2 linked regions of the Nothobranchius furzeri genome follow. The protein of the gene in region 1 purifies or fractionates together with the protein of each later gene. This does not show direct contact. Links are inferred from orthologs where the notes say so. Each region holds a gene or a part of one and is shown on either strand. Other genes may lie near its edges.

Region 1 (4,012 bases):
TGGAGTCTCGTGATTCCAATGAGGTATGGCAATCGAGGGTTCAACCGTATCAGTCAGTCTAACTCACTGGTTCGAAGCTGCAGCATTAACAGAACAGAGCCATTTTCAAGAAAGATGGTTTACATCCAGATGTCCTGGTCCACAGCAAGTCCTGTGTTCAGCCCAGCAGCAAGGACTGCAGACAACATGCAACGTTTCCCTCCGATGAGTCTCATCATCCTCATTAGCATCCAAACGTTAGCTTCTAACTTTTTGAGTGACACAATCGCCCGTTGTCACGCGTGTGGCGCAAACCAACTGCATCACATGTGATAGTCGATCGATACGTCAAATAGCCAATGAATTTCAGAAAACGGCAAAGTGTTTCCTCGTGGCCTGCCTCCACAAACTGAGTAAGCACGACTGTGATTGGTTGAATGCCTCCTGTGGTGTCAGGCCCACAGAACGCGGTTATATCAGCCATCGTTTCTTTCACCCCTAGTGTTTACTAGGGTTTGTTTACTAGTCTGTTTGTTAAACAGACTAAGGTAAACTTGTTATGTGGTTAACTTTCAGCATCTGCACCATCACTGGTTGCCACGGTAACCGGTGTAGCGGTAAACCCCAGTAAAAAGGTGGACAATAATCATAACCGTCTTGTTTTTTTTAAATATATTATCTCGGTGGATTACCGTGGCTGCGGTGTAGGCGCGGTGACCCTTACCAGCCACCGTATCATCTGCTGAAGTTGCCGGCGGCACATGAGCACTTTGTTGTTTACAACCAAAACTTTCTTGAAGCTAAAGCTGAAATAATGGTCAAAGGAGGAGACGGCAGCGCTCAGGACATTTATTATCCCTCAAAGAAGACAAAGTGGGAAGTATGGGCATCTTTTGGATATTTGAAGAATGCCGAGAGACAGCTGATAGAAGACGGCTATCCTGTTTGCAGCACGTGCAGAAAAAGTGTCTGTGAAAGGCAGCAACGCTTCAAATCTCATGACACATCTGCGTGACCATCACCCACAACTCTACAGCCAACGCAAGGCAAGCTAACGTTAGCATTTTAGCTAAAGTGCGTGATCCGAGGATTTGGGTTGAGGTAGAACGCAACGAGTCGCTATATAAAGCAGCCGCAGCGCCGCTACCTGCATATAAACCGTGTCGCGGACACCCCCATGTTGAAATGACGCTATGCATTACGGGGCTCCCAGGGGCAGATAAGAGTTGGTCTCTCTCCGAGAATAATTATGAATTTAACAATGATTACTGCCTGATGACATTTTCCCACATCTGCAAAGCTCACTGGAAGGACACAAACCGAGGACAATATTTTCCTGATATAGGGTTTATTACTCAAGTAAGGGTAAAAAAGTATCTGATTAGAAGGCTACTTGAGTACTGAGTATCATCTGATCTAATATTTTTAAATGATGACATCAAACAGACATAAAATAAGAAGTTATGGGCAAATATTGGTATTTTAAAGACTAAAGGGGAAAAATGTAAACAAATAAACTAGGGCTGTCACGGTAACCGCAAAAATGAAATATCGCAATATGAAGAAACCCATCGTGCTGCATCATGGGCCACCGCGATTACTGAACTTGATTCAACTCAATGATGCATGTTGAGAAGGATGGCTGCACTGGTATCAAAACGAAACGTTACTTCGCTCCTTTGGGAGCACTTTGGTTTTCAGTACGTCAGCTGCTGCGCAGCCAGAGTCCTTGGCCAAGACAGAGCTGCCACCAGCGGCAAATAAATAAATAAATAAACGCTCGGAGACCTGCTGAAGTCCCGGACAAGCACTGCTTCTGCAACCGTCCCGAAGAGAGTTTGAGCCGAGCTGGAGCTCACTCGCTACCTGCAGGAGGAATGCATCCACCCTAAAGAAACCCCCCCGAGATGGTGGAGCAACAACCGGGAGAGATTCCCTTTGCTCGCCAGAGTCGCACGCAAGTACGTGTGCGTTAATGCAACGAGCGCACCATCCGTGAGGGTTTTCAGTGTTGCTGCAAATGTTGCCACCCCTCTCAGATCCTCTCTCAAACCGTATACGGTTAACATGCTGGTTTTCCTTGTGGGTAACAAGGACGTGACCGAGCTATAAATCACCGTCATTCGTGTGTGTGAAAGTGAAATGATAGTGCCCGGCGCCCGGTACATGTAATTTTTTATGCTTGATTTTAAACAACTAAACAAAATGGGGACTTGTTTCTTATTTGTTAGATGCTGCAGCCAAATTTGCATTTAAAAGTTTAACCTTCTCCTGAATTTTGTTGTTTTTAAATTCAGTCGGACTCCGACTGTCGGACAAACAAACGTTACTGCGATCTGTGTTGTTACTGCCCTTTGATCTGCATTCAGTAAAGTGTTATAAAAGAAGGCACGGCAATTTTTAACCTTTTTTAAATGTGTAAACATTATGTTTAGATAGTACTGCAATAAAAAAGTGCTGCAATAATATCGCACACCGCAATATTAAGCCACCCTGAATCACCGCAGGGGGAATTCCTCAACAGCGACAGCCCTAGAATAAACAAAATTTAGACACAAACTGAGGACAATATTTCCTGACATACAGGGTTTATTTAATTGTGTGAAAATGTAACACGTTTAAAAAAAAATACTGCGATAATACTGAAAACCGTGGTAATTTTGGTCACAATGACCATGAGGTTACATTTTCACACCGTGACAACCCTAGTTGGTTCTACGGTGGCCAACTTGAATCGGGTTGATTTCATACATTAATCAGTTGTAAATCCACTGACGACCATTGAGTTTCGTTAAAATGTGCCCAGTGTTTAGATATTTGGTTGATAGAACACACACTCATCGTTTTTTCATGTACTAGAAAAACTTGATGGTCTGTTCACTGAAAACTCGTTTGTGACATCCACACCTTGTGTGGTCTGAAGCTTCTTGTTGCGTTCACTCAGGCATGAGAAGTACCGGACGCAGTATCGAGCCATGTTTGTGATGAACTGCACGGTGAAACGAGACGAGGTGCTGCGCTACAAAACCAAGCAGCTGAGGAAGCAAAGAAAGCGGAAAAGAGGACAGAAAGTCGAACCCCCTGCAGATGCACCAACCAGCTCCACGGACCCTGATGAGGTTTACCACCCAGTCACATGTTCTGAGTGCTCCACAGAAGTGGCTGTGATTGATAAAGATGACGTCTACCATTTTTTTAACATCCTTGCCAGCCACTGTTGAGGTCGACTGAGGGTGCTGTATTGTAGACTTTTTTATTTGTGCCATCAGTTTCCCTCTCAACGCTGAAGTTTGTGCTGCTCAGAGGAAGCTAGTGGTGAGGGATGCTGCACTACCACTCATCAGAGGGTTCTCTTCTCACCTTGCATCATGTATTATTTTAGTTTTCCTGGTTGAGGTGGACACTCCTGCTGTGGCCAAGAGGACTAAATCTTTTGATCTGAATGATCTCAAACAAGTCATTTAAACCATCCCATGTCATTCCTAATTTAAAATAAAAATACTTGGATAGACAAAGGAGGGGAAAACCACAGGTTTTGTTCTGGTTTTCTTTTATCCTTAACACCACGTCATTACCACGGATGCTGCTAGTCTCTTGAATTGGAAGGGTGGTGAGTCTCTGACTCAAGTGGAGAAGTTTGAGTGTGTTGATCTCATTCCTGAGTGATGGTAGGATGGAGGAGAGATGGACCAGTTGGTGAGGGCTGGGTCTTCAGCGATGAAGGTGTAGCTCTGGTCAGTCACAACGAAGGAGTTGAACCAAAGACCTGGGACGTGGTTCATGACCAAAGATGGAGTCGCATGTAAATAAATGATAAATGACCCGCACTTGTATAGCGCCTCTCAGAGTAAGGACTCCAGAGCGCTTTACACTACAGTGTATCATTCATCCATTCACACACACATTCACACACTGATGGTGGTGAGCTACGATGTAGCCACAGCTGCCCTGGGGCACACTGACAGGCGAGGCAGCCAAGCACTGGCCCCACCGGTCCCTCCGACCACCACCAGCAGGCAAGGTGGGTTAAGTG
Region 2 (4,296 bases), on another chromosome or scaffold:
CAGCCAAGTGTAACTCCGATAGCTTTGTGAGGGTGATTTCATGAGACAATCAACAGATTGAGACTGGCTTTGAATTTCAGCCCTGGAGAAATGAGTGTCGTCCTTTTCGCAGCAGAATCAAACTCATTCACACACGAGCTGCTGGGAAGGAACGTGAACCTCCGTTTATAACCACAAAGCAGTGAGAAGCTTCTGATGATAGTTGCAGACAGAGAAAGCAAAATTAAAAGCCTTACCCTTTCTGAGGACCCTCTTCTTAGCACGGATGTCTGTTTCGAGCTCAGCAGCCCTGATGTAGATGCGGACAGACTGTGGGAGGTGGCGAACAGCCTGAGCAACCACAGCTTTAGCCGTATCACCAGGTTGGAGCCTTGCTGCCTCTAGCCACACGTCCTCACTCTGGTTAAGAGAGAGATATTTTGTTATTGAAGGTTATCAGCATCTAGCCTTTGTGCATGGAACCAAAGCAGACACCCCTTTTACCTTAGGACACATCTCTGTGCCCTTCATGATCAAGTTCCTGGCGACCTGCAGCTTGCCCGTCACCTCTTCAAGCCTGGCAGAAGCAATCCAGGCCGGCGGGTGATGGGGATTAGTCTCTCTCACAGATTTCAACAGCAGGCGAGCCTTCTTGATGTCGCTGGGTGAGATTTAGGTGTAATTCATCAAACACACATAAGAAGTTATTTCAAAAGGAAATTTTCCTATGGGCAACTTTTCTATACCTGATGTCTCCTCCATAAGTGGGGATCATGGAGTTGAGATCTGTCAGGTAACCCTTAGGATCCACCACTGTCTGTCCACTGACTGAATCAGACACCTTAGTGGAGAGAAAAACAATAAAAACAGGTAAAATCTTGATAAATGTGAAAGAAGCTCAGGATTTAGATAGGTCTACCTGACTGAGCCTCATATCCATGAGAGTGTTTCTGGCTTGACCGATTTTCCTCATATCCAAGTCTCCAGTTCCAGGAGTCATGCTGCCTGGGTATGGTGTGTTCAGACCGCCCAGCTACCAAGACAGAAAGCAGGAATTGTGTTACAGCGTGTGTGAACAGCTAAAGAAAGCTGAATCCTTTCTCACAGCTATAACTGACACACGTAAAAGATGCTTTATATTCTGCAGAACTAAACATGGAGCCAGCTCTGTCTAAGTAAACACTGCTGTTTCCAGTTAAAGTATTTAAACATTGCATGCATGAAATCAAGTAGATAAATGAATAGTTTCAAGTTTAAACATGAGGTTGATGCTCTTAAGCAGATATTTACTGACAATATAATGCATGGCTGCACATCTCTGAACAGTTATTCTGACTCCTGCTGGGGCAAGGTGAAACTACAACAAATGTTCGGTGACCTGCTTGTAGTGTGTTTTCATGACTACTAACCCCTTGTAACGGATCAACAGATGTGTGGTTTTCTCCGGTCTGCAGGTGTTTAGAGAAGAAGCTGTCAGGGACCGGGGTGAGCTTCTCAAAGCGAGGATTCCTCTGTCGCTTGTTCCTGGCATCTCCAACTTCAGGGATGCTCAGCCACTCCTCCTCCGACACCTCTGCTAGTTTTCTCTGTAATTAAATGATAAAACAGAGATGCGTGTCTGATCCTAAGAGAGATTAATAATTGTAATTTCATGTGCCTTTGCATTACCATTTCACAAATGGCAAATAAGATCACAAATTTGTTTAAAAGCACAAAAACATGAATGCAAACAAATCAGTATGCAGAGTCAGCTGTTAACCTGCACAAAATGCATTAAAGATAGATACCTAAAAATAATGGCATCGTGAATACAATAGAATAAATGTGGAAAACTTACCTTCAGATCTGAGAACTGCTGTTGGATTTTAGGACGCTCCATACGATATTTTTCTATTTCTTCCTTTTCTCTCAGCTCCCTACGAGCAACCACAGACAGTATCAGAAACACATTAAATCAACACAGGGATGAAAAAGGGATGCTCTGTGCACTTATTTTGTAGGTGTTTGGTCTTTTTTGGTCAAGAGGTAGATTAGTTTTATAGTTTACCTTCTTTCTTTGCGCCGTTCATCCATTCTCTTGTCAAGTGCCGCATATATAGCATCTGCTTCTTCATCGTCCTTTTCATAAGGCCCACTGGAGAACAAGCTGCCAGCGTAACCATTAAACTGTACAAGGAGCAAACAGGAGTTATTGACTGGATGCACTGAAGTATTAAATGCCAACAAAAGCATTTAGTTATTGAGACCTCGTCATAGTTGGTGTCGTTTAGATCTTCGTCATCATCATCCTGATTCTTCTTCATCTGGTCACCAACCGTCCTCTTCCCTGGGGGAGCATGCCGATCATCCACGGGGTCGTTGGCATCCCGAGCAGGACCGATGTCGGACCGGGTGGTGAATCCTGTGGCACTGAAACCGCAACATAACCCTTAAGATCGGAGATTTGTCCTTTGTTGCAAACAGCACAAACCATTGTTATAATGTATTTAAAATGTTGTTTTATTTGACACTGCATGCAGAAGGTGGACAATTCAAGTTGTCAACAAACACGCAACTGGAGGAGCTAACGACTTAGCATCAAATTAGCTTACCCTCTGCCGAGACCAGGAACGTAACCTAGCGGAGCGGGCATCCCCAGAAACGGCTTCTTCTTTTTCCCCATAAGCGGAGAGGCAAGAGGTATTACAGGGGGCGCGCCACTCGCCCCTGTGCCCCCCGCGCTGGTTTTGGAGACAAGTTTAGGTGTTTGTTTTGCTCCAGAGGTAGCCATCGTTGCTGCAACGACGTGCACACTCACTAGCAGATGAACAACAGTTTAACTTCCGCTCTCGACTCCTTCCTTTTTCTTGTTTTCTGTTACAGCGCCCCCAACAGGACGGGCTGATTGATTGACCGCTAAAGTTTGCCACACGGGTGCGCCAAACTGTAGAAAATAAAATAAAAATACAATTAGATGGAATAAAGTTAAACTGAGTAAATAGTATTTATCTTTTAGGATATGCTACTCTAAACACCAAAACACAATTGTCTAAAATAGTACAATGAGGGAAAAATATATACTTATATACATGCATATATACAATGTTTATATACAACATAAACACACACACACACACACACACACACACACACACACACACACACACACACGTGATATTTATTTATACTCAATTTTAAGATATAAAAAGAAAAACTAGATAAATCATAGTATCTTCATCCATCCTAAATGAACCACCTCAAGTTGTGCAAAACTGAGAACGGTCATTTTTGACTGGCCTAATGCAGAATGCCTCATCAGTATCTGGTTCATTAAAAAAAAAAAAAAAAAAAAAAAAAAGAAAAGCTGTCTCACTCCTACGTTGGCAGTCCTGGGTTAGAGTTTGAAGTGGAGGTAGGGTAGAGTAAGATAAATACTCATACATACTGTTGTCATTTCCTCTCTAGTTTGTTTAGTAAAAAATTATTACCTAGACATTGTTTACAGAAACAACTAATGGACCTGCAGCCCTAATTAAGACAAGGATGACTCAGATGACATTTGATCCCACAGATAATTAGGTTGCCAAATTGAAAGAAATACATCATTTTTTATGCTGTTTGAAAATTGAATACAATATTTTCACTCCTTGCCTGTCTGACTGCACATATATTATATTGCTTGTAATGTACATAGTTTTAGGTCAAATGAGCCATGCATTTGTGATGATTTCCATTAATTCCCATTAGACACATGCCAACATGCTACATCAATAACTCATCTGACATTTCAGGTTCAGAAACCTACACTCAAACAGAGATGCCAGAGTGCAATAAGTAATTACATGCTAACATGACATTTTTGGGATCTATCTCATGAGATGATGTGAAACCATTCATCAATTAGTTTCAATCGCATTAACTTCAGCCGTCTTCACTCCTAGCCTGGGATCCAGCCTCTACATCTTTCTTCATTTACATCGCCTGAAGGGATGGTGTTATTTTACCCGTGGGAGAGGATGTTAGGGAAGAAAATTGACCGTCAGATGGATTAGATGCTAGGTGGTTCACATGTACAAGGACAGATTTAAATATGAAGCTTAATTCAAACTGCATTTCCTCCCATCAGTGTGTTTTATGTCCTTGTGAGTCTTTAAATGATGATTTTGTTTTGATTGAATAATTAGAACACAATAAAATGCACATTTATATATGACTAAAGGAAAGAGCCACATATCATGTGTGTGTTTATCTCAAAGCTGACCTACAGATAGCTGATCAAGGTCGATGTCAGGATGATAAATGGAAAGTCATTCCTGATACAGGCCAATATTAACACCA

The links. Proteins that work in one complex are often made in the same cells at the same time.
Region 2: the proteins of eapp (region 1) and prpf6 purify together in Homo sapiens (affinity purification with mass spectrometry; 3 studies listed by BioGRID and IntAct, with this or other methods). This does not show direct contact. The link is inferred for Nothobranchius furzeri from reciprocal best matches to the Homo sapiens genes EAPP and PRPF6.

The regions. Positions count from the first base shown.
Region 1 is NC_091758.1:7,749,932-7,753,943, reverse strand, and holds the end of eapp (E2F-associated phosphoprotein), read left to right. Parts: intron 1-2,923; coding exon 2,924-3,200; 3' UTR 3,201-3,508; downstream 3,509-4,012. UniProt on the Homo sapiens protein: May play an important role in the fine-tuning of both major E2F1 activities, the regulation of the cell-cycle and the induction of apoptosis. Promotes S-phase entry, and inhibits p14(ARP) expression.
Region 2 is NC_091755.1:59,889,523-59,893,818, reverse strand, and holds the start of prpf6 (pre-mRNA-processing factor 6), read right to left. Parts: upstream 2,805-4,296; 5' UTR 2,750-2,804; coding exon 2,571-2,749; intron 2,389-2,570; coding exon 2,226-2,388; intron 2,146-2,225; coding exon 2,027-2,145; intron 1,896-2,026; coding exon 1,817-1,895; intron 1,566-1,816; coding exon 1,389-1,565; intron 1,013-1,388; coding exon 899-1,012; intron 821-898; coding exon 726-820; intron 641-725; coding exon 484-640; intron 400-483; coding exon 237-399; intron 1-236. UniProt on the Homo sapiens protein: Involved in pre-mRNA splicing as component of the U4/U6-U5 tri-snRNP complex, one of the building blocks of the spliceosome.